3 linked regions of the Caenorhabditis elegans genome follow. The protein of the gene in region 3 purifies or fractionates together with the protein of the main gene of each other region. This does not show direct contact. Each region holds a gene or a part of one and is shown on either strand. Other genes may lie near its edges. The genes, in order: Y104H12D.2, F29B9.1 and ctf-18.

What was found.
Region 1: the proteins of ctf-18 (region 3) and Y104H12D.2 fractionate together in Caenorhabditis elegans (co-fractionation; one large-scale study listed by BioGRID). This does not show direct contact.
Region 2: the proteins of ctf-18 (region 3) and F29B9.1 fractionate together in Caenorhabditis elegans (co-fractionation; one large-scale study listed by BioGRID). This does not show direct contact.

What each region holds. Positions count from the first base shown.
Region 1 is NC_003282.8:1,171,149-1,183,364, forward strand, and holds Y104H12D.2 (DUF7930 domain-containing protein), read left to right. Parts: upstream 1-6,873; 5' UTR 6,874-6,890; coding exon 6,891-7,039; intron 7,040-7,150; coding exon 7,151-7,292; intron 7,293-7,398; coding exon 7,399-7,638; intron 7,639-8,338; coding exon 8,339-8,439; intron 8,440-10,165; coding exon 10,166-10,388; intron 10,389-11,443; exon of another isoform or gene 11,444-11,513; coding exon 11,514-11,642; 3' UTR 11,643-11,716; downstream 11,717-12,216. Other genes in the region: cec-2 (Chromo domain-containing protein), read left to right, coding at 1-18, 414-469, 645-1,130, 2,026-2,294, 3,489-3,822, 5,288-5,527; rmif-2 (RecQ-mediated genome instability protein 2 homolog), read left to right, coding at 11,827-11,935.
Region 2 is NC_003282.8:4,661,828-4,671,131, reverse strand, and holds F29B9.1 (Protein-lysine N-methyltransferase CELE_F29B9.1), read right to left. Parts: upstream 5,754-9,304; 5' UTR 5,709-5,753; coding exon 5,647-5,708; intron 5,590-5,646; coding exon 5,409-5,589; intron 5,363-5,408; coding exon 5,234-5,362; intron 4,768-5,233; coding exon 4,577-4,767; intron 4,041-4,576; coding exon 3,893-4,040; 3' UTR 3,841-3,892; downstream 1-3,840. Other genes in the region: F29B9.12 (uncharacterized protein), read right to left, coding at 339-383, 1,503-1,589; jmjd-1.2 (JmjC domain-containing protein), read right to left, coding at 6,191-6,246, 6,297-7,034, 7,089-7,461, 7,780-8,011, 8,064-8,384, 8,743-8,869, 8,924-9,304.
Region 3 is NC_003282.8:10,117,612-10,129,079, forward strand, and holds ctf-18 (AAA+ ATPase domain-containing protein), read right to left. Parts: upstream 9,034-11,468; 5' UTR 9,028-9,033; coding exon 8,963-9,027; intron 8,909-8,962; coding exon 8,742-8,908; intron 8,700-8,741; coding exon 8,461-8,699; intron 8,415-8,460; coding exon 8,212-8,414; intron 8,169-8,211; coding exon 8,000-8,168; intron 7,955-7,999; coding exon 7,497-7,954; intron 6,922-7,496; coding exon 6,669-6,921; intron 6,622-6,668; coding exon 6,358-6,621; intron 6,304-6,357; coding exon 6,040-6,303; intron 5,992-6,039; coding exon 5,776-5,991; intron 5,327-5,775; coding exon 5,072-5,326; 3' UTR 4,926-5,071; downstream 1-4,925. Other genes in the region: C04G2.10 (Protein kinase domain-containing protein), read left to right, coding at 1-278, 324-410; irld-21 (Receptor L-domain domain-containing protein), read right to left, coding at 1,849-1,895, 1,942-2,163, 2,208-2,308, 2,642-2,798, 2,842-3,063, 3,550-3,951, 4,391-4,676; Ras GTPase-activating protein-binding protein gtbp-1, read right to left, coding at 9,625-9,983, 10,031-10,273, 10,329-10,857, 10,902-10,964, 11,017-11,141, 11,232-11,334.

The sequences.
Region 1 (12,216 bases), 8.9 Mb from region 3:
AAGCATGCTTGCAGAAACGTTAGTTTTTGTTGTTTTTTCTTGATTTTCTTTAATTTTTTCGTTGAAAATTGCAAAAATTCTGAACTTTTGCGTCATGGTGTACGTGCACAGCGGGCACGAGACTTGACGCGCAATTTAAAAAATACAATTTTTTCGCGAAAAAAACAGATTTTTCAACCTTTTTTCGTGGTTTTTCGAATTTTTTTCTTCAAAATTCAATTTAAAACGCATAAATTTTGTTAGAAAACCTATTCTACCCTGTTTTCTCCATAATTTATCGCAGAAAATTTCCAATTTTCAGTGAAATCTCAAAAAAATTAGATTTTCTTCATATTTTATTTTAAAAGCGTGTTTCAAACCTGCTTCAAATTAATTCTTAACCTAATTTCCGCATAAATTTCCTAAATTTTCAGAGCGGCGCTCAAAAGTCATGAAGGACGACGATCGAAGCTGGAATGTGAGCCGAAATGTACGAATTTATTGGAAAATTGTCAAATTTATGGATTTTTTTACTTAAAACTTGTGAATTTCACGCTTTTCTAACAAAAATTTGAATTAATTGTAAAAATATTGTTGAATCTGACGACGGAATTGCAGAAATCCCCGCAATTTGTCGTAAGATTCAGAAATTTTCAAATTTTTAGTCGAATCGCTCAAGAAATCGCTCAAAATCGTCGTCGAAACCTGCACAACGAACCGAGCCGATGACCCAACGCGAGAAATTTGACGCAATTCTTCAAATTTCCGAGATTTCCCTGGAAAAACAGTACAAACTTACCAATAAGAAGGTCCCGCGGCGATCACAGTTCACAGATCCGGATGCGCCGAAGAAAAAGTCAAAAGGCGCCCGCCATTATCGAGATCAAAATCTGAAAACCCTATTCAAATCCTCGCTTATCAGAAAATACAGAAAACCACAGGAGTCCGACGATGATTTGGAGCCCGATGTCGCCCAGGATTCACCCGAAAACACGCCCGCGCCGCCGACGAAATCGCCAGAAAGTTCGGGATTTTCGGAAAATTTGGAGAATTTGGGCGCCAATACGCCCTCGCCGAGCCCCGATTTTGAGGAAGAGCACTTGGAAAAGAAGCCGGAAACTGGGAATTTGACGGAAAATCGACCGAAAAGGGTACGGGATGCACCTTATCTTACGGAAAAATGCAGAAAAATTTGAAATTATCTCCAAATTGGCGTCAAATTAGGTGTTTTGGCGGTTTTTTGTGCAAACACCGCGAAAATACACCGAATCTTACGACAAAATACAAAAAATAGAGATTTTCTGCAAAAGGGCGTAAAGTTTGGTGTATTGGTTGATTTTTGCGCGTTAAAAATTGGATTTCACGACGAAATGTGTTAATTTTTGAAATTTTTGCCGAAATTTCAAAAAACTCCGCATTTTTTCGTAGGATTTAGTGTGACTAGGTTACTGTAGCACCACCAAAAGTGTGCAGTGCACCAGATCTTACGACAAACTGCAGAAAATTCAATATTTTACGGAAAATCTCCTAAAACATGCAAACGTCTCATTGAAAATTCAAGTTTTCTGCGATTTGTCGTAAGATTTTATGTATTGCACACATCTGACGCTACAGTAATCCCAGAAACACCGGATTTGACGACAATTTACAGAAAACTCGAATTTTCGGGTTAATATTTCCAAAATATCCATTTTTGAACACAATTTTCACCGAAAATCCCAGTTTTCTTCAATTTGTCGTAAGATTTTATGTATTGCACACATCTGAAGCTACAGTAATCCCAGAAACACCGGATTTGACGACAATTTGCAGAAAACTCAAATTTTCGGTGAAATTTTTCCAATAAATCCAATTTTGAATCCAATTTTCACCGAAAATTTCAGTTTTCTGCAATATCTCGTAAAATAAATTGTTTTGCCAACACATTTGAAGCTACAGTAATCCGAAGAAACACCGGAGTTGACGACAATTTGCACAAATATCGTTTTTCTGCAAATTGTCGTAAAATATGTTGCTTTATTCCACCAAAAAATTCAAAATTTTCAGGTTTATAGCCACGAAACGGCCGAATCAATGGAAAACTACGCGAAACTTCTCCTCTACACTGCTTTTGATACAAAATCCTGGGAAACACTTGGCGGTCACATCAAAAACGGCTTCCGACTGAGTTTTGTGTGCTCCAACGGGCTCACAATCATCGAAAATGTCGTTGAACTCAATAAAAATCTGAATAAATTCAGTGATTCGAGAGAATCTCGAATGGTCGCTGATTTGTTTGAATTACTCCTCAAAAAGGGTGTTGAATTTGATGAAAAGTGCGTTTTTTTTTTTCGGTGAAAATCGAATATTTTCCGAGAGATTTTGCATAAAAATCACTCAAAATTGATAAAATCTACTACAAATTTGCGTTAAGTACACAGAATCAGACGACAATATGCAGATTTTATCGAAAAAATTCCGAAAAACTGTAGATTTTGAGCTAAAAGTCGCTAATTATTTCATCGAAACCGTCAAAACAAAATTCCCGCAATTTGTCGTAAGATTCGGTGTATCGACACGGTTGATTGTGCACAGAATCGGCGATACAGTAACCCAAAGTCACATTTTGGATGAAAAATCAATAATTTCACACAGAAAAATTCAAAATATAAAGTTTTTCCAAAATTTTACCAAAAAAAAGGTTCAAAACACCGAATCCAACGACAAAATGCGATAATTCCACAGAAAAAATCAATAATTTCACTTTTTTTTTTTTGAAAAATTGATAAATATACCCTGAAAACCTATAAGATTACCCAAAAATCGATAATTTCAGAGAAAAAAAAATCAAAAAGGTCAAAACACCGAATCTGACGACAAATTGCAGATTTTTGCTGAAAATCGATAATTTCATTTTTAAAAATTGATAATTTCAACTAAAAAATCGGTAATTTTACAGAAAAATCAAAAATTTAAAACAAAATCAAAAAATTTAACAAAAAAAAATCAATATTTTTCAATCAAAAATAAATTTTCTACGAAAAATCAATAATTTCCACAACAAAAAATCGATAATTTCACAGATTTTTTTGTTGGAAAAATTGATAAATTCACACTAAAAACCTCAATTTTTACCGAAAATTCAAGTTTTGTGCAATTTGTCGTAAAATACAGTGTTTTGCACACATCTGACGCTACAGTAATCCAAGAAACAGATTTGACCAGATTTGACGACAATTCGCAGAAAATTCGAATTTTCGATGAAATTTTCCTGAAAAATACAATTTTCTTTACTTTTTCACGTTTTTGAACTCAATTCTTACCGAAAATTCAAGAAATTTTTACATTTCTGCAATTTGTCGTAAGATTCTGTGTACTGCACATATATATGGTTACAGTAATCTAAGAAACACCGGATTTGACGACAACTTGCAGAAATTTCGACTTTTTTCTGCAATTTGTCGTCAGATTGTGTTTACCAACAAAAAAAATCGATAATTTCACACGAAAAAAATTATCGATTTTTTCAGGACTTTACCGCCAACAATGTGTGCCGCCGTCCGTTCCACCCGTTACGACATTCGCCGTGATTTCCGTTGCCTCCATAATCAATATATTGATAAACGTCCACGAATGTGTGAATGGTTCAGTGCCACCGGCGGCGGCGGCTCCTGCGGCACCACCGAAATTTGCACATTTTGGAACAACGACGCTGGCTACCTTCCCAATACGCACCAACGCTCGAAATTCCACGTGGATTTGAGTGAATTCACTGGGAACAATTTGGGGCTCCTCGCGTTTTCAATGGCATGGCACGAGGATTTCATCGATAATAATTCTGGGGGGCCGGAAATCGTGAAAAATGTATGCAAAATTTGTGATTTTTCTCGAAAAATGATGCAGGAAAAATCGATAATTTTGCGAGCATTTTTACGCCAAAAACTAGTGGAAAATCGTGTGAATTCCATGCAAACACCGGACTTCACACGACAAATTGCGGATTTTCTGCAATTTTGCGTCAGATTCGGTGTATTTGGGTGTTTGCACAGATTCACAGGGGCTACAGTAATCCCCAAAGTTTAAAAATAAATAATTTTTGTTTCAAAATGATTCGAAAATGTGTGAAAAATGGGGCTTTTACAACAAATTTTATATGGAAATCGCGATTTTCGTACGATTTTCAATGAAAATTTTGAATTTATCGTGAATTTTCTCTACAAATCCGGAAAACGTGATTTTTCAGCCGTGAAAGTGCGATTTTTGAGCTGCGAAAAACTGCGAAAACTCCTGGTCCTGTGCAAACACATCGGTAATACACCGAACCTTACGACAGAATGCAGAATAATCCCGTTTAAACGTAGAATTTGAATTTTTCGCGTTTTGTCGTCAAAATTTTGCGCAATTTAATACTTTTTGTAGAAAAACTCCATTTTTTACCAAAAAAAAACCGTTCAAATCCAGTTTTCCGGTTACTGTAGCCATAAATCGGTGTTTACACCAAATCTGACGACAAATTGCAGAAAAAAGTCGAAATTTCTGCAAGTTGTCGTCGAATCCGGTGTTTCTTAGATTACTGTAGCCGTATATATGTGCAGTACACAGAATCTTACGACAAATTGCAGAAATGTAAAAATTTCTTGAATTTTCGGTAAGAATTGAGTTCAAAAACGTGAAAAAGTAAAGAAAATGGCTTTTTTTTTAAAGGTAAATTTCACCGAAAATTCGAATTTTCTGCGAATTGTCGTCAAATCTGGTGTTTCTTGGATTACTGTAGCGTCAGATGTGTGCAAAACACTGTATTTTACGACAAATTGCACAAAACTTGAATTTTCAGTAAAAATTGAGTTCAAAAACGTGAAAAAATCTAGAAAATTGCTTCTTTTTTTTTTGTTGATAATTTGACCGAATATTCAGATTTTTCTGCAAATTGTCGTCAAATCTGGTGTTTTTTGGATTACTGTAGCGTCAAATTTGTGCAAACACCTTTTACTTGAATTTTAGGTGGAAATTGAGATCAAATTGCATGTTTTAGGAGATTTTCAATAAAAATTTAAATTTTCTGCAGTTTGTCGTAAGATCTGGTGCACTGCAAACTTTTGGTGCTACAGTAACCTAGTCCACACTAAATCCTACGAAAAACTGCGGAGTTACGACAAAAAATATAGAAAATTTCATTTTTTTTTAAAGGTAAATTTCACCGAAAATTCGAATTTTTTGCAAATTGCTGTCAGTTTCAGTGTATTTGCGCAAGATTTTCATCCAATTTTCATTGAAAAATGCGATTTTCGCCCTGAAAAATCTCAAAATTTTTTAATTTTTTAATTTCCAGAACCGCTTCAACGCCCACATCGATGTCCCATGCTTCACCCTTTGGATGAACGGAAAAATGTGCGAAAAACTTGAAAATTCGCATGGATTATCGATTTTTCGGCCGCTCGGCACAGTGCTCGACGTCAACGAACTGAAAATCAAGATTACTGAACATTCGTCACGTTTTGTCGCAATTTTGCCGGTTTTTAATTTGAATTCCGACTGGAAAAATTGTTTTTTTCCCCTGGAAAATCAATAATTATCGATTTTTTTCTGTTGAATTCGTATTTTCTATAATTTGCCGTCGTTTTCACTCGATTTCCCACTGATTCATAATAATTTTCTTTAAAAACCCACTGAAAAATCGATTTTTCCGCTAGGGAATTAATTATTATTGATTTTTTTTTGATAGAAAATCGATTTTTATCGATTTTTCGCTAATATTTAAAAATCAATTTATCCTAATTTCTCACTGAAACCCCCCCCCCCCCTATTGCTATCATGAATTCATGATAGTTTTCTTTAAAACCCACTGAAAATCGATTTTCCGCTAGAAATTTATCGATTTTTCGCAAATTTTTCATCACTTTTTCCCGATCTCGTTGTTTTTATCCCGATTTCATGTCAAAAAAATCAATTCCGATTACAATTCCATGACCAATTCTAAATTACAGAAAAATCGATTTTTTACGAAATTTATCGATTTTTCGCTATTTTTTCATCACTTTTTCCCGATCTCGTTGTTTTTTTTTTGAATTATTGCTAAAAATCACTTCCGATTACAATTCCATGACCAATTCCGCCCAAACTATCGATTTTTTGCTTGAAAATCGATAATTTTTCAACCGATCTCTTGTTTTCTTTTTAATTATCATTAAAAATCACTTCCTCTCACAATTCCACCACCATTTCCGCCAACAAAATCCACAAAATTATCGATTTTTCCGCCGGAAAATCGATAATTCCTGTTTTTTTTGTATTTTCCCCTATTTTCTTAATTAAATTGCTTGTAGAATTGCCTAGTATCCTAGAATTCTAATAGTAACCGCTAATATTATTGATTTTTCCAAAAAAACCCTGAAATTATCGACTTTTACCTAAAAATTGTCGTTTTTCTTCTGTTTTTATTGTGTTTTTTCGCCGAAAATTGTCGCATATTGTTAATAGAATCTCATTTTCTGCCCAACATGGCGCAATTCTTTTAATTTACCCTGACTAATGTGCTTTTTCTCACTTTCTACACCATTTTTGTGAACTTTTATCGATTTTTTTTTCTCGTGATTTTCCCCCATATATCATTGACCTACTTCACACATATGCAACTTCTGAACACTGGAATAAATTTATTAATGTTTCATTACTAAAATCTTTTGAAATTGCGAATTAAATTGATTTAAATCGGGGTTTTGCCGCACTTTCTGCGATATATTGCAATTTTTCGGTTTGAACTCCCGCGCATTTGAATTAACGACACTCCGATATCCCGCCAGCGCGTGTTGTTTATCGCGTTTTGTTTTTTGAATAAAATTGTTTATTTTTGAGCCAAAATCTTTGATTTCAACGGTTTTTTCGTGATTTTTTGTTAGAATAACTGAAAATTTAGAGATTTCAAGCAAAAAACTATGCCAGAACCAACGGAATTGTCTGGAATCATCTCAAAACTTGAGGAAACCTACGCATTCGCCACCACCAGTCTTGGAAACGTATTTATACCGATTGCAGCGGCCAGAACCAAGAACGAGACGCTTTTAAGCTTGCTCGACAAGTTTTCGTGAGTTTTTTTTGCTGGAAAAGTTACATAAATCAATTAAAAATCAAAGTTTTGGGTGAAAATTCAAGTTTTTTCGAACTTTTCCCGGAAAAAATCGATAAAGTGTTTCAGATACAACGAAACTGTGCAAATGGTGGTTATTAAACAGATAGGACGCAAAAATAACTGCAATTATCAGGCAAAACTCGTGAAAAAGCTCGAAGGCTCAATGTTGGCGGCCGCCAGAATTTCCAATGAAGTTTTCGGGCCATTGGTGGGTTTTTAGGGTTAAAAACTTGGTTTTAAGTGAAAAAATAGTCAGAAAATTGAATTTTCCATAGTTTTAAAGCTAAAAAATCTCGAAAATCCCGTATTTCCAGATCGCCCAGGTGACCAGCACCACGGATAGCTACGCGTTTGCTCAAAACGACGAAAAAGGCACAATTTTCGTGCCGGGAGACGCTTTTGACGCGAAAATCGTGAAAAATGTGGGCCGATACGTGAATACCAGCAATCAACTGGTGCTAAAAATCAAGGAGCAAATCGAACGAAAAGGGTGTAAATGGGTCGCTGTTGAGGCTGTAAAACACTTTGTTGTCGAGGAAAATGAGGAGAAAGAGGTGGAAAATCGAGAAAAATCGATAAATTTTGATCTAGAGCTCGGAAAACTGCTGAAAAAGTGAATTTAGAGCAGAAAATTGGAGTTTTGAGCCGCCGAATGTCCAATGTTCAAGTAAAAAAATGTGAATTTAGAGCTAAAAAATTTAAAAAATGGCAAATTTCGACTAAAAATATAACTTTTCTCCCGAAAAAACGAATTTTTATGACAAAGTTGAGCCATTTTGGTATTTTTGCCCAAATTTCAGCTAACAACTTAAAAATGATCTAAAATATCCAAATTTTTGTATAAAAACCTAAAAGTTCTCCAAAAAGTTCAATTTTTTGCCCAAATTTCCGCTAAAACCTGGAAAATACTCTAAAATACCCAAATTTTTGTATAAGAACCTAAAAATTGCGAAAAAATATCCAAAAAAAAAAAAAGACTTTTTGTCCAATTTTCTGTTCAAAACACGGAAAAACTATCCAAATTGCACTAATTATACAAAAATCTGTTTTTTTTGGCCAAAAAAAATTTTTTTTCGGCTAAAAACTCGGAAAATTAATTAAAAATGCCCAAATTTTTGCCTAAAAACCGAAACATTGCAAAAAATTCACAAAAAACTCAATTTTCGCCCAATTTTCGAGCTGAAAACACGAAAAATGCTCAAATTTTTCCCCCAAAATATGCCGAAAATCAATAAAAATTTCAATTTTTTTCAGGCGGTAGCAACTGGAGAAGTAAAAATTTCGTGGGGAGTCGTTGTGGAAGTTGATGAAATGGAAGCACATGTATTAGATGAAAAGAATGGAATACTTGTTACGTTAGTAATGTTAAAAACTAAAAAAAATCTTAAAAATCTTAATTTTATAACTTTCTGTAAAAAAAACGAAAAAAAAAAATCGAATTTTTAGATAAAAACTCTGTAAAATCGAGAAAAATTGACTGTTTCGGGCTTATTTTCAGACAGAAATTAGAAATATAAAAGCTAATTTCACAGAAACATAAACTTTCACTAAAAATTGGCTTTTTACAAAATTTCTTCAGTGAAAATCTGGAAATTTTACCAGAAAAATTCCGGAAAAATGTCAAAATGTTGACCATAAATCGAAATTTGTACAAATTTTCGGAGAAAATTGCATTTGATCATCAAATTTCATCAGTTTTTACATTTTTTTCAGTGAATATCATACAATTTCACCAAAATATTGGAAAAAAATCGGGAAATTCACATTTTCTATGTGGAAAATATAAGAAACCAGCCGTGGACCGCACCTACGGCGCGGCCCCCGACTTTTTGAGAAAACACATTAGATATACGGTGTCTATCGCGGACCTCGATCGATGTCTGCTGCGCACTTAGCATAAGGTTTCCCAAAATTTCGTTGCTCTGATCAGAGATCAAACTACATAAGGACAGAAGGACACGCGCTTTATATATAGTAAATGATATAGGAAAAATCCTGGAATTTTCCAGATTTTTCTGTGAAATTCTAGAATATTTTTGGTTGAAAATGTCAAAAATCCAGAAAATTTTCAGAAAATTTCCCTGTATATTGTCTGTGACTTGTGTGTTTCTCTATCCGAATTGATGGTTTGAATAGTGGTATTCTCGGCTGAAATATGCAATAAATACCGTATTCCAACCAACAATTTGTGCAATAGAGCACATTTGTCACTGGAGATGCAGAAGCTATGCCCAAATTTTCATTTAGCGCGGAAATTTGGCTGTTTTCGGGTGTAAAGTAGAAAATTTGGAAATTTCGACATTAAAATTTATTATAAAATTTGAAAAAAAATCCATAAAAATCCCTTTTTTCTGACAATTTTCTGTTAAAAATTGGTAGTTTTTTGGGTTTTTTTAAATCCCAGTTTCCGAGGAAAGCTATAAATTTGGGTACGGTAACTCGGAATTTATGATGTTTTTTTTTAAAGCTGTAAAAACTGAAAAATTCTGCTCAATTTCCAATTTTTGTTGAAAACCTAGTGGTTTCTTGGATTGTTCTAATTTTTTATCAAAATCCTGCTGAAAATTAGAATTTTTAGCTTTTCCGCTTGTTTTTCGGAATTTTTTGTGGCTTTTTCCAGGTAAAAAATCCGTTTTTTACGGAAAAAACGGCAAATTTTTGAATTTTTCGATGTTTTTCCCATGAAAATCGGAAAATTTGTATTTTTTGTTTATTTTTAAAGGAAATTCGAATTTTTTTTCGTGGCGAGACCCAACCTTTTCAGACTTTGCGCAAAGTAGGTCAAAATTATACGGCAACTTGGCAACTGAATTTCCCAATACTGTCTGTGACTTGTGTGTTTCTCTATCCGAATTGATGGTTTGAATAGTGGTATTCTCGGCTGAAATATGCAATAAATACCGTATTCCAACCAACAATTCGGTGCAATAGAGCACATTTGTCACCGGGGATGCGGAAGCTATGCCCAAATTTTCATTTTTCAGGAAAAACACCTTTTAAAAGCCAAAATTGGGCCAAATTTCATAAATTTTTGGCCAAAAAACTTAAAATTTTCACCAAAAATCGCCTTTTTTTTTGCAGATGCCCAATTCTAAAATACACTGGCGGAGCAGATGATAGTCCTTCGGCTCGAGCACTAAATGACGTCATATCAATCGATAATCACGTTATGTTCAAAGCTATGCTAATCAATGGAAGATATGACGCTGTTGAATGGAAAAAAATTGCCGATTCTCATGAACTTGTGATGCCGAAAAAAGTGAACACGTCGGATTCGTATGCACAGACTCCTGCGTGTCTTGTGGTACGGGGTTTTGAGTGGAAATTTGGGATTTTCCGCTAAAAATGAGCTGAGAAAATCGGAAATTTTAACCCTAAATTGCCTGGAAATTCGGAATTTTGCGTTAAAAAAAGTGAAAAAAAAACATTCAATTTTAGATCCAAAAAGTTTATTTTGGAAGCTCCCACTTTGGCTGAAATTTTGATATTTCTGGTTAAATTTTACCGGTTTTATGCAGAATTTTTTATAATTTTCCACTTTAATTGGCATTTTAGAGCCTTAATTTTTACTAAAAATGCGCTAAAAATTTGATATTTTACTAACTTTTGTTAGAAATGTGAATATTTTATTAAAAAGGTTGATTTTTATGTAAATTAAATTATTTTGTCAACAAAAATTAGATAAAAATTCGGAAAACCCATTTTCCATACCGTTTTCAGATATTTCTGGCCTCCTTTGCAAAAAAATGAAAAATTGGAAATTTTCAGGAATTAAAAAAAATTCAAAATTTTTCAAATATCTAAACAAATTAGGATACTTTGACCGATTTTGCTACGCTTAGAAAAAGTTTTAGTCCATTTTCTAAATTTAAATCAATTTTCTGACGACATTTTTCAAAAAATTTGAAAAATTTCACACATTTTGACTAGTTTTTTTTCCAAAAATGTAAATTTTTTTTAAACTTTAAAAAAGTTTTTTAAATTAAAAAGCTGTAAAAACCGAAAAATTCTACCTAATTTCCAATTTTTTGTTGAAAACCTAGGATTAGCTTGGATTTTGCTAATTTTTCTCAAAATTGTGTTGAAAATCTGAATTTCTAAGCTTATCCGTTTTTTTTTCTAACATTTTCGGCGTTTTTCATCCCAGTTACCGAGGAATGCTATAAATTTTGAGTACGGCAACTCGGCAACTGAACTGAATTTCCCTGTATATTGTCTGTGACTTGTGTGTTTCTCTATCCGAATTGATGGTTTGAATAGTGGTATTCTCGGCTGAAACATGCAATAAATACCGTATTCCAACCAACAATTTGTGCAATAGAGCACATTTGTCACTGGAGATGCGGAAGCTATGCCCAAATTTTCAATTTTTCACGTGAAAACTTTGTCAAAATCACTAAATTTTCGCCTAAAAACCTGAAATATTCAGACAATCATGTTCCGAAAACTGCTCCAAAATCATCCAGAAGATATGGATCGATACTCATCAATATTGGATCAATTGCCACCGTCAGCACTTCCAGATTGCTATTTTTCCCGTGAAAATTGCACGGAATAATGGGATTTTTTTTTTGGTTTTTTTTTCGGTTTTATTCTCGAAAACGTGTTTGTCAATACTAATTATTGGGTTTTTTTTTCACAATTTTGCACTTATTTTCCGCACAAAATCGGTTAAAATTCCGGCTTTTTTTTACCTATTTTCACCCATTTTTTACCCCAAAAAACCGGAAAATCCATAGAAAATGTGCGATCGAGACGATTGTGCAAGTATCGCGAGCCGCTGCACCGGAGAAACTATCATTTGTGCATTTGTGGAATCAATCACACCGCCCAAGATTCGAGATAAGACGGGTAGGTTTTTTTTTTGCGGAAAAACTGCAAAATCCACTTAATTATCGATTTTTGGTGCGGAAAACGCCGAAAAATTGTCATTTTTGGGTTACTGTAGCCCCAAACATCACACCAATGCATCGGATCTTACGACAAAATGCAGAAAAAATTCGATTATTACGTAGAACCGCGTTTTTCCGCATTTTGTCGTAAAATCCGGTGCATTGATGCGGTTTTTGCACGGATTTAGGGATACGGTAACCACAAATTCGATTTTTCATTAAAAAATGACATAGTGCTAA
Region 2 (9,304 bases), 5.5 Mb from region 3:
CCAAAATGCATGCTTTAAAGCTTTTTAAACTCAAAATTTAAATTGAACTGTTATTTTTCATTTTTCAAATACATAAAACCTCGATGTATATTCTGTAGAAAACTAAAAATTCAAGTTGTTTCACTTTTTAAAATGTTTAATTTCAAAATAGTCGGCAAAAAATAATACAAAATCAAGAATTAAAAAAAAACTGTTAAAAAAATCGGCTACCCTTTTAAAATCGGTTTGACGAGACTATGAAAACCACCTTTTGAGATAATTTTTTGGGTCAGCTTCAAAGGGTGCCCGAGATTTCATTTTTTCTAGGCCACCTAGCAAAAGATGGGGGCCAAACTTACATGACTCGTAGTTGATGGGAGCATTGATGTGGAGCAAGGCGGCACCTGAAACCAAATACACGTCAAAAAACCACCCATCAATTATGATTGTTCCAACACAAAAAAGCAAAAAATCGGGGGAGATTTGAGAAGATGTGGGGATGATCCCACGGGGATTCCCCTGACAGGGAAATCTCACAAATGATAAATACTCTCCTTATTCGTTGGGATAGAGAGAGTGTGTATGTGGAGAAGAGAGTAGAGAAGCTCGACGGGGGCTCAGAGAAGGGTCAGCGCGATATGACTACAGGCATTTGTTTTGTGTGCACCAAAACATGATAATTACAGTAGTCTCGGTGGATTTGAAAGTTTATTGTGTTTATAGTAAACATATAAATCTGGAGAAAGTTCCGCATTTGAATGTCCAATTTGTACTTTGTTGGCATTTTTTAGGAAAAAATAACACCATAAAAAACCAGATTTTACGCCAAAATGCAGAAAATAGGCGGTTGGCAGGCAGGCAGACATTGACACACCTGTAAACTTAAATGCCTATTACTGTGCCTGTAACCATTGTTTTCTAGATAACTTTCGCGTAAAATATGGATATGTTGCATCACATTGGTGTGTACAGTAATGACAATGCACCATACTTTACGCGAAAGTTTTTGGAAAAAAAACATATTCAGACAAATAAAACAACACTGATAGACAAGAAATTAAATCTCCAGGCGTTCCTATGCCTGCCTACCACATATTTTCCGCATTTTTTCGTAAAACCAGATGTTGACCCAGTAAACGCAGATTTGTATTATCCAGACGCTAAGTTTTGAGATTTGTGCAAAAAACCAAACGTCATTAAAAATTACTGTAATTTCAAACTTTTGTTTTTTCGGAATTTCAAGGATTTTTCGCAGCTTTTTATAGCGATTTATATGTTTTTAAATAATTAAATAAATTTTTTCGTAAAAAAATATGAAAACTCGATTAAAAACATTACAGTATTCTTTTTAAAATGTGTCGCGTCGAGACCCTAGGTACCGTATTTTTGAGCAAATATGCATTTTTGTGCCTATCTAAAACGTTTTTCCTTCAAAAATGAAAAAAAAAATGTAAGAATCAGTTTTTCTATTACATTCTATTACTTAAAAATCGTTTTACAAATACCAATTATAATATACTCACCCGTTCAGTATCATTCAAAAATAGTACAAGTTGACAGCATGCTCGCCGAGTAAGATTCATTGGTTGATCACATAAATGAGGCTTCATTCTGTAAAACTGGGCTCATTTTCTTCAAAATAAGACAAGAAGCGGCGGCTAGACGGTAATTGAATTATTTTATTATGTTTTTCGGCGGGAAGGATGGGGGGACAAGAAGACACAACAATTTGTCTTCATACTACTAAAAAAACTGGAAGAAGTTATGCAAAAAAAAATAACGTTCGGTGGGATAAAAAAAAGGAAGAAGCGGTCGCAGAAAATGAAAAAAAACGCCGTTTGTGGTGTTGGCAAAGAGAGGAAGAGAAATGGGAGGACCCCACGACGGCCACAATGAAATCAAACTTTTTGATGTCACACCAGGCCACTGACAATTAGTGACACCCGCCCGCCGGGGTGGCACGAGGAAACTAAACGTTTTATTCAATTATTGGTATTTTGGAAAGTTCTGGTCTTGGCACGAAAAGGTCATTTTTGATTCGGTTAGTTTTGACACTGAAATTTTTGCACTTTCCAACTTTAAATTGCATTATTTTTTCTTCTGATTTCCTAAAAATAAATCAACTAGAGTACTGTAGAAAGGTTTTTCTCGTAATTTAATGCACTGATGATTCTACATCGAAAGCTATTTTTTATTAGTCAGCCGTGAGTTTGTGATTTTTTTTCCAAAAATACGGTACCTGGTCTCGATACGACCAATTTTTGGTGATTCTTTAAAAATGCGCGAATTAAAGGGGTACTGTAATTTCAAATTGTGCTGGCTGCGGAATTTTTTGTCAATTTTTCATAGTTTTTTTTTACGATGTGTATTTGCTTGCTTTGCTTAAGTATTTTGATTGAAAAAAAAACTGTGAAGATCCAATTGGTACCCAGTAAAAATTCCGCAACAATAAAAATCTGAATTTACAGAATTTTTTAAAGGCGCACATCTTTTCGAGTTTAATAATAATTTTCTTGTCGAGACCGGTACCGTATTTTTTGCGCAAAAATCGAAACATGGGGAATAAAACAAAAGATTTTAAAATTATTATGCTCACAATATTCTGAAATGCGTGTTTAAATGTTGCTCGGATTTTCTCGAATGGGTCTCACCGTGAAAAAAAGTTATATATCCTTTTTTCGGGATTTCGTAGACGAATATCTTCATTTTTCTACTTTTTCTTGATTTTTGTGAAGATTTTCAGTTTTTAATTATTATTTTTCAAAAGAAAAGGAAAGATTCGAAAACTTTTTCGCGGTGAGACCATTCAAAAAAATTTTAATGAAAAAGGGTGTGCGCCTTTAAGAACTACAGTAGTGTCTAAAAGCTTTATTTTTTGAAAAACAAATTTAAAATAATAGAATAATATTTATAGAAAATTACAAAAAAAAGGAGTGGAGGTTACTGTACTCATTAAAGGCGCACACCTTTATCAAAAATCTGTCGTCGTATCAAAAATTGCAAAATTCACCTGGAAAATTATTTTTTTAATAGAAAACTATGTAGCATTAAAAATAAAAATCATCAAAAACAATCTCGAAAAGCTCAAATTTTTTAAACTACAGTACCCCTAGCTTAAAGGCGCATACATAGTTGAATCTCAGAACGTTTTTGAAAAGAAAAGTTGCAGAAAAACTTCCGGAAGTCAACTTTTTTGCATAACATTTTCGTCCTTCCTTCTTTCACCAAAAAACGACTATACTTGTGTGTGTGTCGTCGTCAATTGTCTTTGGCACTCTGCCTATACAGACTAATAAAAAACCACCAAGAAGTCACCCAGAAAACAAAAAGAAAACAAGAGAAATATGCATGTTCAGATGGATTAAAGAAATGTGTGAAAAGTGTGCGTACGGGAGGGGAGCAAGAGGTAGAAAACGAACATGTAAAAAAGATTGAATGAATGATTAATGAGGCGACGAAAGGTCGAAAAGAGAAGCTCTTTCACAACGTGGAATCTCTGCAGCTGCTGCTGTTGCTGCTACTTGTGCTCGGAGCCGAAAGTGAGCCCCCATCTTCGGGTCACAAGCACCCCATCTCCTTCCTTCAAAAGGAGTCCCTGGAGACGAAGGAGCTCCCCGCGTCTAAGAAGGCGCCGCCCTATCAAACTCCCATTTTCCGCGAAAAGTAGTCTAGGAGGAGAAGGGTCTGCTGCCACTTTCTCCAAGATCCATCATGCCGAGCAACACTGGCGTTAAAATGATGATGATGATGCACCTGATTAGCTAAAGAGAGAACACAGTGGGAGAGAGATAAGAGAAACCTACTTTTTTTTTATATAACAACTGAGAAACTGAGAAACGATGGGAGAAATGTGGGGGGGGGGGGGGAAGGGGGAAAAGAAATGAACAACAACAATAACACAGAGGAGAGGTGTTTATAGAGTCTTCTTCCGGAAGACGGCACCCGTTGAAGTGACACCTTGTTTTCCGCCAAACGAGAAGCTGTGACTTGCTGGTACTTCACACACGATCTCTAGACTTGTTGAGCCGCCGCCGCCACCGAATTGCGAGCACATCTCGTCGCTGAAAAGGAAAACAATTGATTTCGACTTACAATGGAAGTATTTGAACTTGCATATGTCATTTGAAAGAGTAACTTCAAAAAATTTAGGTGCATACGAGAACTTTGAACTAGAAAAAATCGATCTGAACTCGGTTCAGCTCATTTTTTCAATATTTTTTTTGAATCTAATGAACAATTTGAGACGATTTTTAAAAAATTCAAAAATCCTGACTTTTTTTAATCAAAAAATTTGGTTCAGTCAAAAAAAATTCCGATTTTTTCTGAAACCTTGGAAAATTGTTGGAAATATCTAAATTGATTTTCTTTTTTAAATCTCCCTAATTGAAAAAATACAATTTTTAACTGAAAACTTTGGTCAAAAAATTTTTGGTCAAAAAACAATGCAAATTTTTGATAAACTTTTTAATGGAAAAAAATGGTCTGGAAGCTGTTTCAGATCAACTTTTCTCAGTTTCAAAGTGCTCGTATGCCGCTCAATTTTTTGGAGTGACCTATTTAGAAGTTTCATTTCGAGGCCCTTTTTAGGCCTACTTACAAAGTGAAATTACACGAGAATATCACAAATCGACCGCCAGCGCTCAGACCATTATCAAGAAAACCCAAGTAGGCTTTCAGACGAGCTTCTCGTTCATCGGATAGGCTCATCGCGTCCCATGTGCCTTTATCGAGAATTACATCGAATTTCGAGGAGAAAAAGTCGGCTGGCGGTGTGGTTATGTCCAATTGCTGAAAGAAAACGTTTTTGCTTTGAAATTTCGAGAAAAACAATATTTAAAGGCGGTTTGCAGAAAAAATTCAAATTGGTGAATTAATTTTAAATTCCCGAGCAAATTAATAACCTAGTTTCGACATTTCGCGTTTTCTTCGATTTTCTTATATTTTCCTTAAACTTTTGAAACACCCCTTGTCAATTTTTAGAAAGTTTTCCGCAAAAAAATTATAAATTAAAGTAAACTTAGCGCTTTTCAGGCCTTCTTCCCGGGAAAATGTCTGAAAATTGATAAACGGTGTTTTTACAAAAGAAACCAATCAAATTAGTCGGAAAACGCGAAAATGTCGGAACTAGGTAATTTATTTGCGCGGAAATTCAAAATAATTAGCTATTTTTTCGTTATTTATGCAAAAATTTATGTTTTAGATGAATAAACACCTCTTCTCCGTTTTTAATGATGCAAAATTCAAAAATTTACACCTCAAATTCAATATCTACTAATTCTTCGTCTTCTTCCTCTTCTCGCTCAGCTTTCGAAGCGGCTGCAGAAAGATCAACAGCTTTTTGACAATAATCAACACCTTTCAGACTCTGGAATCCTTTCGATCTCTGAAAAAAAACTGAATTTCAGAGGTTTTGAGCTCGAAATCCATACCAATTTCCTCAAAACCGATCCATTTCCACATCCCAAATCAAGAATCTTTGCATCTTTGCCGGTTTTCGAATCGATTAAATATTTTACGATTCGTGTTTCAGACGATGTTCCGAACCACACCTCTCCCTCATCTCCGTGTTGCTTGAAATTTTTAAGTTCCAACTCGTATCGTTGATCCCAGCTGAAATAAAAATGTTTTAGCCAACTCTAGATGTAAATTTTTAGAATTTTTACTTACAAATCCTTGGTTCCAAGTTGTGAAGAAGCAATTTCAACACTTTGTTCGCTCATGTCGCTCATTTCAAGCTATTTTAAAACCCGAAAATAAATAATAAATTCCAAAATCTGAAAAAAGTAGTTCCATAGAGCTTTTTTTGCATTTGCATTTGCCTCGTTTCTCTAATTCTCTGTTCACTCTCTAGAGAGATCTCTTCTAGGAAATCCAAGTTTAAAGTCTAAAAAGCAGATATTTTCTTGCATTTCACTTTCAACAATGTTCACATCAAGGAAAAAAATTAACATAATCAACGCTTTATTGTGCGTGTGTATTTTCAAACTACAAAAAAATCCCCGTCAGTAAATTCGGGAGATCGTCTTGTACAAATTTTTGGATGCAAAAGAACCGCGTGAAAGAATATGGGATTGTGTGAATAAAACAATAAAACGAATGTAAAAATTAGTCAAAAATACGGGGAAATTACTATTAAGATCGGGGGGCACTTTATAATTGTACGAGATTTATATTTCGTCAAAGTGCACACATATCTTGAGGTAGAGGACGTTCACATTTTGAGCTTCTTCATGAGGCGATCTCTGGAACTCATTTCCTTTTTCTTTGCTGAAAAAAAAAATTATTAAACAGTTCTCAAGGTTTCGATCTTTTCTTACGTGGTGGTTTCTCCTTTTTCTCTTTTGGTTGCTTCGGTGGCTTTGGCTCTTTAACCTTCTTGATTTTCTCTCCGGAATGAACAGCTTCACAGCGCTCCAGTTCGTTGTCAAGCTCGCGGAAGCTTTTCGTCGCCTTTTCCGGAATCTCTTCGACGCGTGCTTCGAGATGGGATCCACAATAGTCGGCCACGTTCTGATTCAACTTTACTTTTCTTCCAGACGACGTGCATTGATTATTGAATATCTGGACAACGCCCTTCTGATCTTCAGTCGGTCCCATTCCAATCTTGATGGTCAATGGAGCTGTAACTTCGGAAGGACCTGCTGCTTCAGGAACCGGAACCTTCTCCTCGGGAACTTCCTCTTTCTTCGCCTTCTTCACCTTCGGAGCATCATCATTGTCCTTCTTAGCCTTTTTCGTATACTTCTTCTTGTAGGCAGTCGAGCTGGACGGGCAATAGTCCTCATCATCCCGCTCCGCGGATTCTCGACTTTTACGTTTCTGCTTCAACCCCATCGGCTTATTCTTGGCATTCTGAATCTTCGTCTGAATCTCAATCTGCTTCCTCACCGAGATCATAATCTTATTCTTGTCGTCAGTGGGCAGGATCGCGTTCTTCTCGGGACCCAATCTCAACTCTCGATCCATCCAGCGCTCCATTTCGGCCTTCATGATTTGTGACGCCGTCCAAATATTCTTCTCCTGCTCACGCATGTCAGAACCTTCCTGATTGGCTTCTGAAATGTAGCGAATATTAGTAAAACCGCTATACAAACTAGTAAATTGCTTACCTGTAATCTTCTCAAGCAAGACGTTTCGCATGTACATCCAATGAAGAAGTTCGAAATTCGGAAAGTAGAACTTCTCCTCGCTTCTAATTTCCTTACGAATCGCGTTTTCGAGATGGTACACGCGCATTTGCATCTCAAGATTTCCCAAATGCAAGAAGTTTCCTCCAAAAACGAGCGAATCGACTGGAGTGAGAACCGCGTGAATCCAACCAGCCGGGATGAGCAGTGTCTGACCTTCCTTGATCACAACTCGCTTAACAGCTCCGTTGGCAATGTCACCGAACCATGTAGTGGTGTCCGGAGATGTCTCGTGTGCTTGATAAGCTGCAAAGTTCTGCTCCGTTGGCGCGGCGATGTAGAAGATTTTCTCGCCCTGAAAATAGAGTTAATAAGCTTTGAGAAAACCAATTTCAGTTGAAAGAAGGGTATTTCGAACATTACGATCCTAAATGTGCTCAAATCAACGAATTTCGTGATGAGGCTTCTCAAAAATGCTTTTAAAATCTCGGAAAATAGGAGATTTTAGCCAAATTTAGTCTTTTTTTTTTAATTTTGAACCTCCAAAAAAACCAAAAAAATATTGAGAATTTTTTCAGAAGTTTCAAACGAAATTCGTTAATTTGAGAACATTTTGGCGGGGTCAGAACGTTCACAATCCGCGGAACCATTTATATTCCTTCAATAATTATACCTTCAAAATGTGATAGTAGACGCTACTACCACCAAAGTCCACGTGGAAATCCGTATAAGATCCAGCCATTCCTGCGAGACAAAACTGTTCCACTTTTGGTCGCTGATCTTCTGGAAGATATTCTTCTCTCTGGAGGAGTTTAATGTACTCCGCTCCACTGACATCAGGCCACAGGCGGTTGACCATTGAGATTTCCTGGACAAATCTTGGCGGCTTAGCGATTTCTTTCATCCTGGAAATGTTAATTAATTAATTTTTCAATTGTTTTCAGTTAATAAACTCACTCATTATTGTCCGAGAATTCAAGGGACAGAAAATTGTACAAGAGTGGTCTGTTTTTAGTGTCGCGAAAAAGTTTTCTGAACGTATCAAGCTTCATCGAATAGGTGCTCTGATTATAGACATCGATCGTGTCCACTTCATAATCCGATCCCATAATTTTCACAACATCCTCCAAATCGAATCCAGGCTTCGGCATTGTCATATTGAGGCCGTCCATGTCTTTGACCATAAAAACTTTTCCCCAGTTGTCAGCTCCTCCGAGTTTTTCGAATTCTCTGCGGAATTCGTAGCCATCTTCGACAATGCAAACCTCATCGTCGGTTCTAAAGAATACAAATTTAATTTTAAATAATCTTTAAGGGAGGTCTGGGTTTTTTGCTTGTTTAGACTCAAAATGTGCCGGAATGAACGAAAAACATTATTATAGGTGATAAATTCAAGTTTTTTCGTTGATTTATGTACATTTGAAGCCAATAGGTAATCAAAAAAGGCCAATTTTAGTAAACTGACAGCTCAGAATGTACCAAATAAACGAAAAATGTGAGAAAACGGCAAAAATGGGAGTTTTCAGCTGAGATTAACTCTTTTTCTTGAAATTTTTGTGAAGTCTTCGTTCATTTTGGCGTATTTCGAGTCTTCACAAATAACAACCAAGTCATCTTTTAATGAAAATTCCCTTACGGTGAGGGAACAGTATTTTCTCTGGTGATGAAATCCTCAATCCAAGTTTTTGAGCCAACTTCAATTCCGAGATGCTTCTCGTTCGGACTGTACCAGCGATAACGATGTGGGGCGACGACTTTGTATCCTAAAATAATAAATAAATATATTTAATTGCAAGCTATTCGATGAAAAAACTTACGAATGCTATGTCCGGTATGTGGAACGCATTTGGGGCAGAAAAATTTCTCATACAGGTAATACTCAAATTGCTCGAGGCCTGAGCACAGAAAATGGTACCAGGTTTGGCAAGAGTCACAGCCAATCCATTGGAAGTCATTTTTCTTGTGATGGTGAGATTTCTTCTTGCTCATCAGTGGCTTTTCCTTTTCCTTCTTCTTTTCCTCTTCAAGAGCAATTAGATCATCTTCATGAGTAAATTTTCCGCATCCTCCACATCGATCCGATTCCTTTGGAGTTTTCTGCTCTGGGACATCATCTTCTTCACTGTCCGAGTCCACCTCAAGCTTCAATTCTTCTTGAACTTCTTTCTTTTTTGTTTTCATTTCGTCGAAATTCGAAA
Region 3 (11,468 bases):
AGCTTGTGCTCTCTCTTGTCATTGCGAAGCGACGTTTGGATACCAACCACAATGACGTTCATCCAGGGAACGTGCTCGTAAAGCGTTCAGCATCACCGAAAACTCTGAAGTACACCCTGGATGGCAAGGTGATCCGCATCCCTTCGCATGGATTGGTCGTCGGAATTATCGATTTTTCGGAGGCGTCGTTTGGCAGAGCCAACGGCAATTCGGACGTGGGCTTCCTCAGTTTCATTACTGAGGAAATTTCGAAAACATTGTCGAAAGCTGAAAATCGGGTTGGTGTATTATGAGAATTCAATAATTAAAAATAATAATTTCAGACATTCCAAACAGCTATCGATGGGCTCACCGATGCAAGGAGCATCACAGCCATCTACCCGAACGCCAGCATCTTCAAAAAGCACTGAACTCCTTCTCTCTTTTATTATTTTATTCTTTCTCTTTTTAAATATATAAATTTTCCCTTGATATAATCGTTGAAAATGAACGCAAAGTCAGTCGAAATCTCTAAAAAACATCAAATAATCGAATTTGTACTGAGGCGTAGTCGAAAGCTTTGAGCGAACGGATCAATATCATCTAAAATCTCCAATGTAGATTTTTAACTCGATTTTTCCGTCTTCTTGAACTTCTTCAATTTCTTCTTGACTCTTGCCTTCACAAAAATCTTTGAGGTCAACGGTACATTTTTATTAGAGAACTCAAACATGTGCATCCATTAGAGCATTTTAGTTGGCAAGGATCACAGCGCCTCAAATCGGGAGAAATCGGGAGTAGTATCACGTGGTGTCAGGCTGTCTCATTGCGGTTTGATCTACGAAAAATGCGGGAATATTTTCCCAGAAAAATTGTGACATCAGCACACTCTTAACCATGCGAAATCAGATGAGATGTCTGCGTCACTTCTCCCGCATTTTTTCGAAGAATAAAGCAAAATGGGACTTTTTGATTCCACGTGTAGTATTTCAGGATGAGAATCAATATAATCCTTAATATGCAGATAGCTATAGATACAGTAACTTTGACAAGTCATATCTACTGGGAAACAAAAGATATCAAAAAGTGATCAACTAAGAAACTGTAGAACATTTCAAAAACTATAATACATATTCAATTAAAATCATATATTTATCATGTAAGATGAAGGAGTTATTTATAGCAGCCAGAGGAAAGGCAAAAAGTACGCAATAGAAATGTAGGTCTAACTCCGCCATCTCGAAAGATAAAACGTAGTTTAAATTTAAATATTGTAGTTTTGCATTCTGTCTGAAATGGAATGTGAGTTAGAATAGTCTCAAGCCATTCCACTGGAGGGAGTCGCGGATGAAAGCCACTGGAAGTCGCTGGACGTTTGAAGAAGAGCCGGCAGCAAGGAACGAGATGAGGAAGACTCTCGGCTGCTGAGTTGCCTGGCACTTCTGATTAAATGATCATTGATTTAGAATTTTACTTGTAATTATTTCACTCCGTTAATGCCAGTGTTTTAGAAATAGTTCCGCATTCATTTTTTTGAAACAAATGTACATACATTAGCTGAAATGAACTACAGATAAAACTAATGGTTTGAAATAGAACCACCTCCAGTGGTTATTAGTGTCACAAGCCACAGGTGGTTGCAATGCTCAAAATATTTTTACTTTCTTTGTATTTAGGCAGTGGTTTGAACGTGCGAAAATGCTCGACATTTTTCAAGAATCACAAATTTTGCGAAAACTTGGCCATTTATCAAAATTTTGACAGAAAACGTTCAAAAATGTATCACATTGTTCTATGATAATTTTTTGTAATTTAAGTGTATTAAAAGTGCATTCTGACAGAATCGTAACTGGCTGTACTCCACTTTTTTCAAGTAGATGTGTTGGTTGTTGTAGTGACATCAACCAAATATGGTCCTGTAAAAGAAGTACTTTAACTTAAGTGAAAACTTTTTAAACTCACTACAATCGTAGTCAACATCAAGTCCAACTGTTACTCGTTTCACTCCATTTGACATTTTTCTACAAAAATCATCATCCATTGTCAAATTTCCATTGAAATTGAATGTGATTAGAGAATATGCAATTTTGAGATTTGGGAATGAAATATCTTTTAAAAAATCGTTTCTTCTGAATTCTATAACAGTTCTAGGTCCCAGTTGTCTTGATCCTTTATTCACAATATCTATAATTTTAAAATTCAGTGAAATAAGATAAAAGATCACAAACCTTCAACTTGATAAATTTCTTGAAGGTTGGGCAATGTGAACGATTTTAGTGTAGTTCCTTGGATATAAATTGTTCCAAATATAACTTCAAATTGTTGCACTCTAAAATTAAATAAAAATTTTTAAATGACCTGACAAGTGCATTTAATCATTTGTTACCTAGACACTATAGAACATGTTTTATTGCTCTAAGAGTGTTGCTCTAAAAGCAAAAATTTGGCAATGTAGCAAACCTTTGATGTACTTTTTTGGAAAATTTAAAAAAAATCTAAAAGTTTTTGGAATTTCCTATTATTTAGGTTTGACTGTAACCAAACACAATACCTAAACAAAATCCCTGTTAATCCACTTTTGAAATAAACAGACTTGGAATTATTGTTGGAACTAAAGCTATGCAGCTAGAATTTGTTTCAAATAGTTTAAATCAAACAGCACCTTTTCATATCTACTTGTGATATTTTCGTATAATTTGTAATATCTTCATAATCGGAGGTCATATAGTTTTCAAACAAAATATTTCCAATATACCGGGTACATCGATCAGGAACGGCGGTTAATTTTCCAGTGCAATAAGTCAGCGGATTGTTAATTTCTAAATGGAAAATACTTATTGAAACACCCTTTTTCATACTTACTATCCATTCCACAAAATGACATACTCTGATATCCTTCCAACTTTCTTAACGAAGATTGTGCAATCGTCTGAAGAAATTCCGGATCCAAGCAAAGTTTCGTGTTTTGGAATAATGAAATATCGGAATTTGAATTCTTACTTTTGATTGTTTTCAGTTTTATAAGATCCAAACGACTCAGATAGTTGTTACTATCAATATTTATTGTGTAATCAGCTTCGATTCCTTAAAAATTCAACTTTTTGAATCACTGTTTTTATTAATAACTCTTTCTTTTAATAACTCTTTCTGTTTTAGAGGTTTTGTTTCCGATAGTTTGTCTTCTGTTTTTTAGTGAATACAGTATTAACTCACATCATTTTCTATTTTAATGTTGTGATATAGTTTTGAAATCCCCGCAGTTCCACTACAGTAACCCAAAACTATCATTCTAAGATTCCAAAATTGATAGTAGAATGCTGTTAGATACTATAAACTACAATTACTAGAAACTACTCAGACAAAGTATGAAAAATCTAAGTGGTGCACTGCCAATAGCTAAAATCTTGTGCTGAACTTTATAACTGACTCCTGCTAAAAAGTTAAACTCCAATAGTTTAGGTAAACAAGTCTAAATTGTGTCTAGATTCGCCGTAATCTTGTCAAGTTGAACTCTAGGCAGTGCCAATTTTAAACGTTTTATCTTTGCCTGATTATGTGATAAAATAATACCTGATTCAATTTCATCCAAATTCTGTAAGAAACCCAACGTTTCTAGATTACTTGATTTAATTTGAATAAAACCATATAATTTGTTGACTGTTGATAATCTATATAAAACTTCAACCGGTGGAGCATTACCATCAATTATAATATTTCCATACAAAACAATGCAGTTTTCAGGAAAATTTTTGACTTGGGGCCATTGGAAATTCCCATGAATTTCACAGCCACAATCAAATAAGTTTTTGGAAATTGAACGCCGAGTGAAAAATACTTCATGAATAATAGAACACATCTTTTGTAAGTTTAAATTTGGATTATTTTTGATTTCGACTATGTTATTTGAATTTGATAGTGATGATATATTCAGATTATTTAATTTTGTATTGTTCAAAATAGATAATCCTTTATCTGAAAAAATATTTAACTTTGAATGTGTTCAATTGCAATATTCACTTAAAAATCGCCATGGAAACGAGCAATTGAAGACGCTCCGCCCCCAAACCATGAGTCTCGTTAGGTATTTGGAAGCAGAAGCGTAAATTCAAACGTTATCCGTTAATGTCGCCTTTCTCAATTTTCAAGCATTTTTGGTATTTTTCGTTCTAGGCATTTTTAAATCATTTTCGCCTAAAAAAGATAAAAACAACAGAAAATCTAATAAAAAATATTACAAATGTTTAAAAATCGGTAAAACTAATTGAAAATGTTTGAATTTTCGTTCTTACACCCAACGAGACCGAACTGTAGGGGCGGGGCGATTTCAATTATCTATGGAGCGCATTTCCACGACGATTTCAGAAGAAGATTATGTCTTCATCCCCATAATAGTGTTCTCTGAATATATTACCCAATGGATCTCCAGTTATATTCTGAATATTTTTCATGAAAGGCGCTGAAGTTAATTGAGTATTCCATATTTGTAGAACTCCTCGAATTTGAAGAACATTTTTGAATAAAGTGATCAATTGTTCACTTTTCATTTCAGAATTTTGATCGATACGAAATCTTCCAATAATTTGAGAGCATTCAGTTGGAAATAAGCTCTCTTTTGTGATATAATGAACATTAAATGAACAATTGTCTGAATCAACTTCCGATAAATAAAAGAGCCACATAAATATATGAAAAAACATTCTCAAAATATTTTTGTTTGAGAATAAAGTTTGTGGAAGTAGGAATCGGTGAAGATATTTAATTGCATATTTCAATTGAGTTGCCATGAAAACAAGTGACATTTTCGATGAAGCTGAAATGCTATTATAGCATTCTTAATTTTGAAATGTGAATTCTATGAACTATTAAGAGATCATGTTTTTGTTCATATCAATTTCGAACCCCGCATTATTTTCTGCAGAAAATTAACAATGTTTTAGTCTGAACTTAAAAGGAATGTATTGTTCATTGGGGTGATAAAATCGGAAAATGAGCAAAAGATCATAGGAACGTGTATACAGCGCTGAAACAACTGAAAAAAGTAGTATACAGCAAAAATAGTGTCATTTTACAAACAAATACTTTGAAATTAAGGTTAAGAATCACCAAAAAGTATAGAGTTGAGTTGTTGCATGGTGACTTTCTTTTTGACAGCACTACTGTCTCCATCCTGATGATTAAATACTATATCTGTTAGTCTTCCATTGTGTAATCTTTTCATTGCTCCGGCAGATAGTCTCTTCTTCTTTTTGCTTTCTGATTCAACGATTGCTTTGATTTTATCGGCATTCGTAGAAATTCGTTCAGTATTCGAGGTACTCTCTGTCAGACGAACACGCATAAGAGTGATCTGAAAATTTTTAAGAATTAAATTAAATTCTGAAAATAAAATTTGCCATGGCCTGGGCAGAACACGGAGCTTTTTTTTTGCTCAAATAGACTGAGACTTCCCAAACAATTTTATGGTGTTTCAGAATTTCGAATTTCGAATTTGTTAAAATCTGAGATTTTCCCAAGCTTGTCGTAGCAGCTGAAATACAGTTTTTATTAAAGGGTGAAAATTTGATTTAAAAACTGTATTCCAGTTGTTGCGACAATTTTCGAAAATGCAGAACGCCACAAAAATGTTGAAATTTTTTTTGAGAAATCTCATTTTCAAAATCGAGTGTCTCGGGCCGGTTTTAATCTATTTGATGAGAAAACCTACAAACTCTACTCCTTATTTTAAGAAAGCACAAAGTGTGAATTCAAAACTTTCAGGCAATGAAAGAAAATTAATTTAAAACAATAAATACAAACCTTATGAGCAATCATTTGTCTTGTCGCATTGGCAAGATACGGCCGCTTTGGTCCATCCAGTGGAAACATTGTCAAAATATCAATTGAAGGAGTAAATAACCAATTAACTTGATCTTTTACCATTGTGGCAGTGTATGTCAAACCATAATCACACATAATCGAGACAGTTTGATTGAAAGTCGCAAGTTCCCGTTGATTATACAATGACTCATTCATCTGAAAATTTAAAAATTAAAAAAAAAGAGAACAACCAGCGATTGTTACCGGTTTGATAGGTGGCTGAACAATATTGACAATGAATGGCAAAATATCCAGCAAAAGCTCTTTTTTTGGTGCACCTCTAGTCGATTGTCCACATGATCGAACTGCGCTGATTGTTTCTTCCGATTCCTTCGTTTTTTGGAAAATATTTTGTTCCAACTGTGGATAGGCGATCGGAACACGAGCATGAGTCGCAATGTTGAGATGGAGGGAAACGAAGAATGAAAAAACATACTTTAGAACCGACCAGTTTTGAAGACTGTGTACCTGAAAACAAGAATTTATAATAGTTGTTTAATACTAATAGTAATTAAAACTCACGATTTTCTGAATATCATCATAGAACAAAAACCATGTAGACGCTTTGCGTATTACTCCAATTGGAAGAGTTACAAGATAATTTGCATGTAAACCAGACACAAATCGTTCTTCTCCTCCATGGTCTGCCGATATTCGTTCGATATCAAATATTCTTTCTCGTACAGATTTGATTCCTCCCTTTGCGTCTGTATGTTTAGATAACTCAAGAATTGACGACCAATGTTCGAAAATAGAAGCAGATCCGCCTTTCTCTTTCTCAATAACCTAAAAAACAGATTTCTATTAATATCAAAAAATATACAGCGTCATACCTCATGGATCAACTTCATTCCAATTGCTCGATTCGATTTTCGTGCTGCCACCGCTACCCATTGAAGAGTATTAATTGAATGTCTCATATCATTTGCACACAATTCGCATAACTTTCTCAAAGTACTCAAATCACATCGAAGACGTTCTCGGTCACAAATTTCTTCCAGTCGTTTTGCTAAAACATCTTGTTTTGTTGCGACTAGTTGCACACACCAGGCGACTCCTCGTAAATCACGCAATGCTGGCGTATACCTTTAAAAACAAATAATTAGAAAATCAAACACATCTTACGAATACATTGAGTTATCCCGATAAAGGGGGTTTGTGTTCCGATTTTTACCAAAATCTGAAACCAAGAATTTTAGTTTTTGATTTCTTTCGATTTTTCGAAAAATATCTTGAAAGTTTGATCATTTTTATTCTATTTTATTTTTATTCATGTTTTCTTGTGTTTTTATCAACAAAAACAGAATTTGATTTCAAAAAAAAAAAATAATTTTATGGTTCACTGATTTTTTTTCTTCGAAAAATTGTCGTTTTTCGATTTTTAGATTTTCAGTGAAAAAAATCGTCAAAATTTTCGCTGACATCTTTGTTCCCGATTAGGACTGTCGTTTTTAGTTGGTGTTTCTTGCAAAAATGGATTTTTGGACTAAAAAACAAAAGATTATCTTTCAAAAATGTAGGTATGATGGAAAAATCAAAAGTGTTTTTTTTTTCGGTTTTTTGGAGAAAATTGGTTTTTGGTTGAAAATGTTTTTGCAACTGTTCCCGATATCCTATTATATATTTTCTTTCTGTGTCACTGAAGCCATAAAATAACTTACAAATTATTGCAAATTCCAATAATGGGTCGCCGAATGGCTTTTTTGCCTGTTGCTTGAATACACCGAACCAAATGACGAATAGTATCAATTGGTGTTCCATCAATTTCATCAAGAATCAGGCATGCTGGCCGTTGATCTGCATCAAGTGTTCGAGATGTTTTTACAGCTCCTTCTAGTACTTTATTTAAATCTGCGACTGTTCGAGCATCACTTGCATTTACATCAATTGTTGAATAGCCTGCTTGACGAGCGACAATTCGTGCTAGTGTACTTTTACCGAGACCAGCCGGGCCAGAAAGAAGCAACATTTTCGATGATGGACGCCGAATTTTGCCATTATCCATGTGTAGTACTTCTCGTTCTTTTTCACCGAGGCTTGCTAGTAAATCGTCGACTTTTTGATGGAACACACACTCGTCCCACATTTTCAGCCATGTAAGAATATTTCGATTGACAGTCTGCAATATCGTGACTTCTTTTTTTAAAATAATGTAATTCCTTACACTGTCCGAGAGCAAATCTGAGAAATTTTTGGCTTCGTACTTGTTCACCCATAATGATGATTCTGGATGAGATTTATTATTTTCATATTCAGACGGTGTTTCAGTTTCTTTAAGCATGCGTGAAAACTCGGCTTCCTGTTCTTTAACGCGAGATTCTTCTTTCAACTTGCTGAAAACTATAAAAGTATTCAATTTTCTAGTGAAACTATTACCTAAGACGTTCGGATTCCTGACAAATCGACTGAAAAGCTCGAAAACCGACCCTCGAACGGGTTGCTTGTTGGGTAATCGATTCTACTAACGGAACAGAAAGACGATCATCACGGAAAGTTCGAATATAAAATCGTTGCCCGTTGACGACATCACTGATACCAATCCAAGGTGAACCATCAGTTACCGGATTTCGCATGATTTCCTGAATTCAATGATAAAAATATAATCTTTCAAGGAAAAGTAATAACCTGTCGTCTTCTATATCTCCGTTCCATTTCTAGCTCACAAAGTGAAGAAATTGTCTGCTCTCCGCTTTGAAAATCGTCAAAAGCATTAGAATGATGATTTTCATTCATTTTTCTTTCAGCTTGAGCAGCTGCTTCGTTGATTTTCTGTTCCAAGCTTTCGAGGGCTCTTCTCTTAACAGCATTTACTTGTGACTTTTGTAATACTTCACTGGAAACTGTTTCCATTCTCATATGCCAATCTAAATATATAATTTAATTGGAAAACCTTCTTTTTGACTGACCCATTGGATGTGAACGTCTTCCATATTGATCAAATACGTCTTCTACTTCATTCAAGCGTCTTTTTCTTTTACCATATCCAACTTCTTCGAGAGCATTCCTAACTTCATTGATTCTTTGATTTTCAGAGTCTCCATTCGGAACTACAGCTAGCTGATCCTCATCATCTCTTAAAATTCAGCGAATGTAAAACTACTTCTGCTTCTCAACATAAAGATCTTACGGATATTCAAGTTGCCCATCATCGTCGGCAAACCCAGAATGCAGTACATTGTAGTCATCATCCATGTCTTGCTGTATCCATTAGAAATGTTAGAAACACAATCTCACAACAATAAGTACAATACACTGTTACTTGACACACTACATATAAAAAAAACAAATTGAGAAACTTGAATAATTTAGATACAAAACTTTATTTTAATTCCAACGTGCCAAAATGGGGGTAAGAACTTGAGTACAAAGAGTACTCCCGAACACCAATGAAGGAAACAATAACGGGGGCTTGTAAAAGGAGAAGGAAAGTGGTAATATATTAAAACAACATTCAAATACAACTTGGATATTCGGTGGTGGGATGATGTCTGATTGCAACTTGTACTCGAAAAGAGTAAACTCAGATGGGATCACGGTCGTCAATCACCGAAAACCGGGGAGATAGGATGTGAAAATGGGATGCGGGCTGATTGGATTGGATTGTTGAGAGATCTACTAAAACGCTACACGCCATAAAATTCAGATACCAGAATCTTCTTACTTAAATCATCATTATTAGAACGGTGAGGAAGGAAAGGAGAAACAATAAATAGGAAAATGAGAAGGATAGGTACAGAATCTAATGGATGTGCAATTCTTACAAGAAGGAAAAAGGAGAACGGAAAGCTTCTAATTTTGTCCCGCATTTTGGAAACCGCTGCGCATACCACCTCGTGGAGCACCACCCGAACCGCCACGGCGGAAGAATTGTCCACCGCGTGGTTGGAAACCTCCACGTCCTCCTCGGAATCCGCCGCCTTGTGGTTGATCACGTTGCTCACTAATTTGAGCATGTCCGTCAAATCCGAATGCATCCAGTTTGAGTGGAAGCTTCCACACGCCTTGCTCATCCTTTGTAGCCGCTTCGAAAATGGCTTTTACTCCGGCCTTGTTACGCATGGTAATAAATGCAAAGGCATGTTTCGATGTGTCGTTCGGACTGTCAAGAACCTTGCGCGGCATGCGAACCTCCTCGATTTCTCCATATTCTTAAAATGAAAATTTAGTGAACTATTGGGACTATTAATTTGCTTACTGTAGAACACCTGCTTGATTTCCGATTCAGCCTGAGCTGTGTTGCTGGGGACAATCTCTCGAGTGATTCCTCCCAAATAGATCTTACGCTCATTTAGGTTGGCATCTGAACTTTCCTGAGCTTGGCGCAATTCATTAGCTGGGTGCGACTGTCTCTGTTGCTGATAAAGAGGAGCATGCGATCCTTGTTGTTGCTGATGCATGGAAGGCTGCATGTGGTGCATTTGTGTTTGCTGATGGATTTCTGAAAAATAAATAATCTGAGACTAGCCCGATCATCTTTCGTTTTTTCAACTCACGCTGTCCTTGTCCATAACTTTGTTGTTGTGGGGGCTGAGACTTTCCACCTCCACCCACAAGATTAGCCCACGTTTTCTGAACCTTTGGCTGTTCTTGAACAGGCTCAGGAACTGGGGCTCTCTGCTGTGGGGGCTGTTGGGCAAGCTGTGGTTTCTGCGGTGTTTTCGCTACCTCCTTTTCCACAGATTTCGGAGTGTCTTGCTTCACTATACGATCTTCAGCTTTCTTTGGCGTTTGCTGCTTTGGAGGAGCCGGCTTTGATTGTTCCTTAGGTTGCTCGGTTTTGGAAGATTTGGAATCCTTTCCATTTGCTCCACTGGCGTGTCCGTTATGACCAGTCGACGAAGTAGTCTTCTCCTTTTCCGTATTCGCGACGAAAAACTTATCAATGTACTGAAAAGCGTCTGATTCGACATAGTATTTTTTCTGCCCTTGTTGCCCAAGCAAAAATGATTGAAGGAATGGACGGAGGTTAACGGTTCCGATAACATTGATAATCACTCCCTGTTTGTGTGGGGTTGGGTATCCCTTAAAAATATATTTGTAGGAAAATCGAAGAACGTCGTGTTTACCTTGATAGATTGAATCTTGAAGTGGGTGGTTTCTGGTAGATGATTGTACAACTTAACAATCTCCTAAAAATATATTAACGAAATGTATTTTTGTCAATTTATATTTGTTGCCAACCTGCGATCCAGTGACCACCTGATCATCCAAATAGAACTTCGATTCATGTCCATAGAACTTGGTAATCGCTTTACGGTTCTCAGAGACGGTGATATAGAACTGATGGCAGAACGCTCCACCGACTTCTGAAATAAAATCAATTTAATGCAATATTCGGGATTGAAAGAATTGAAAGAAAAGGTGTGTAAGCACTTATTAAGTGCGACATGACTCACGTTCAGCGGCTGTCAATGAGAGTGGCTCGACCGGAGCGGTGGAAGTCAAATTACCATTGATCGGATCCATCTTATTCTGGGTTAAGGCCGAGGTTATCTGCATTTAATAATTACCTGAAAATGTTTATTTTTGTTTATAATTTTAAAAACGGTTTATGTAAAAGATGACGAAAAAATAATTTAACCGCTGCTTGCTTCATGATATCAAGTTTAACTATTTTGGAGGAAACTAGTTGT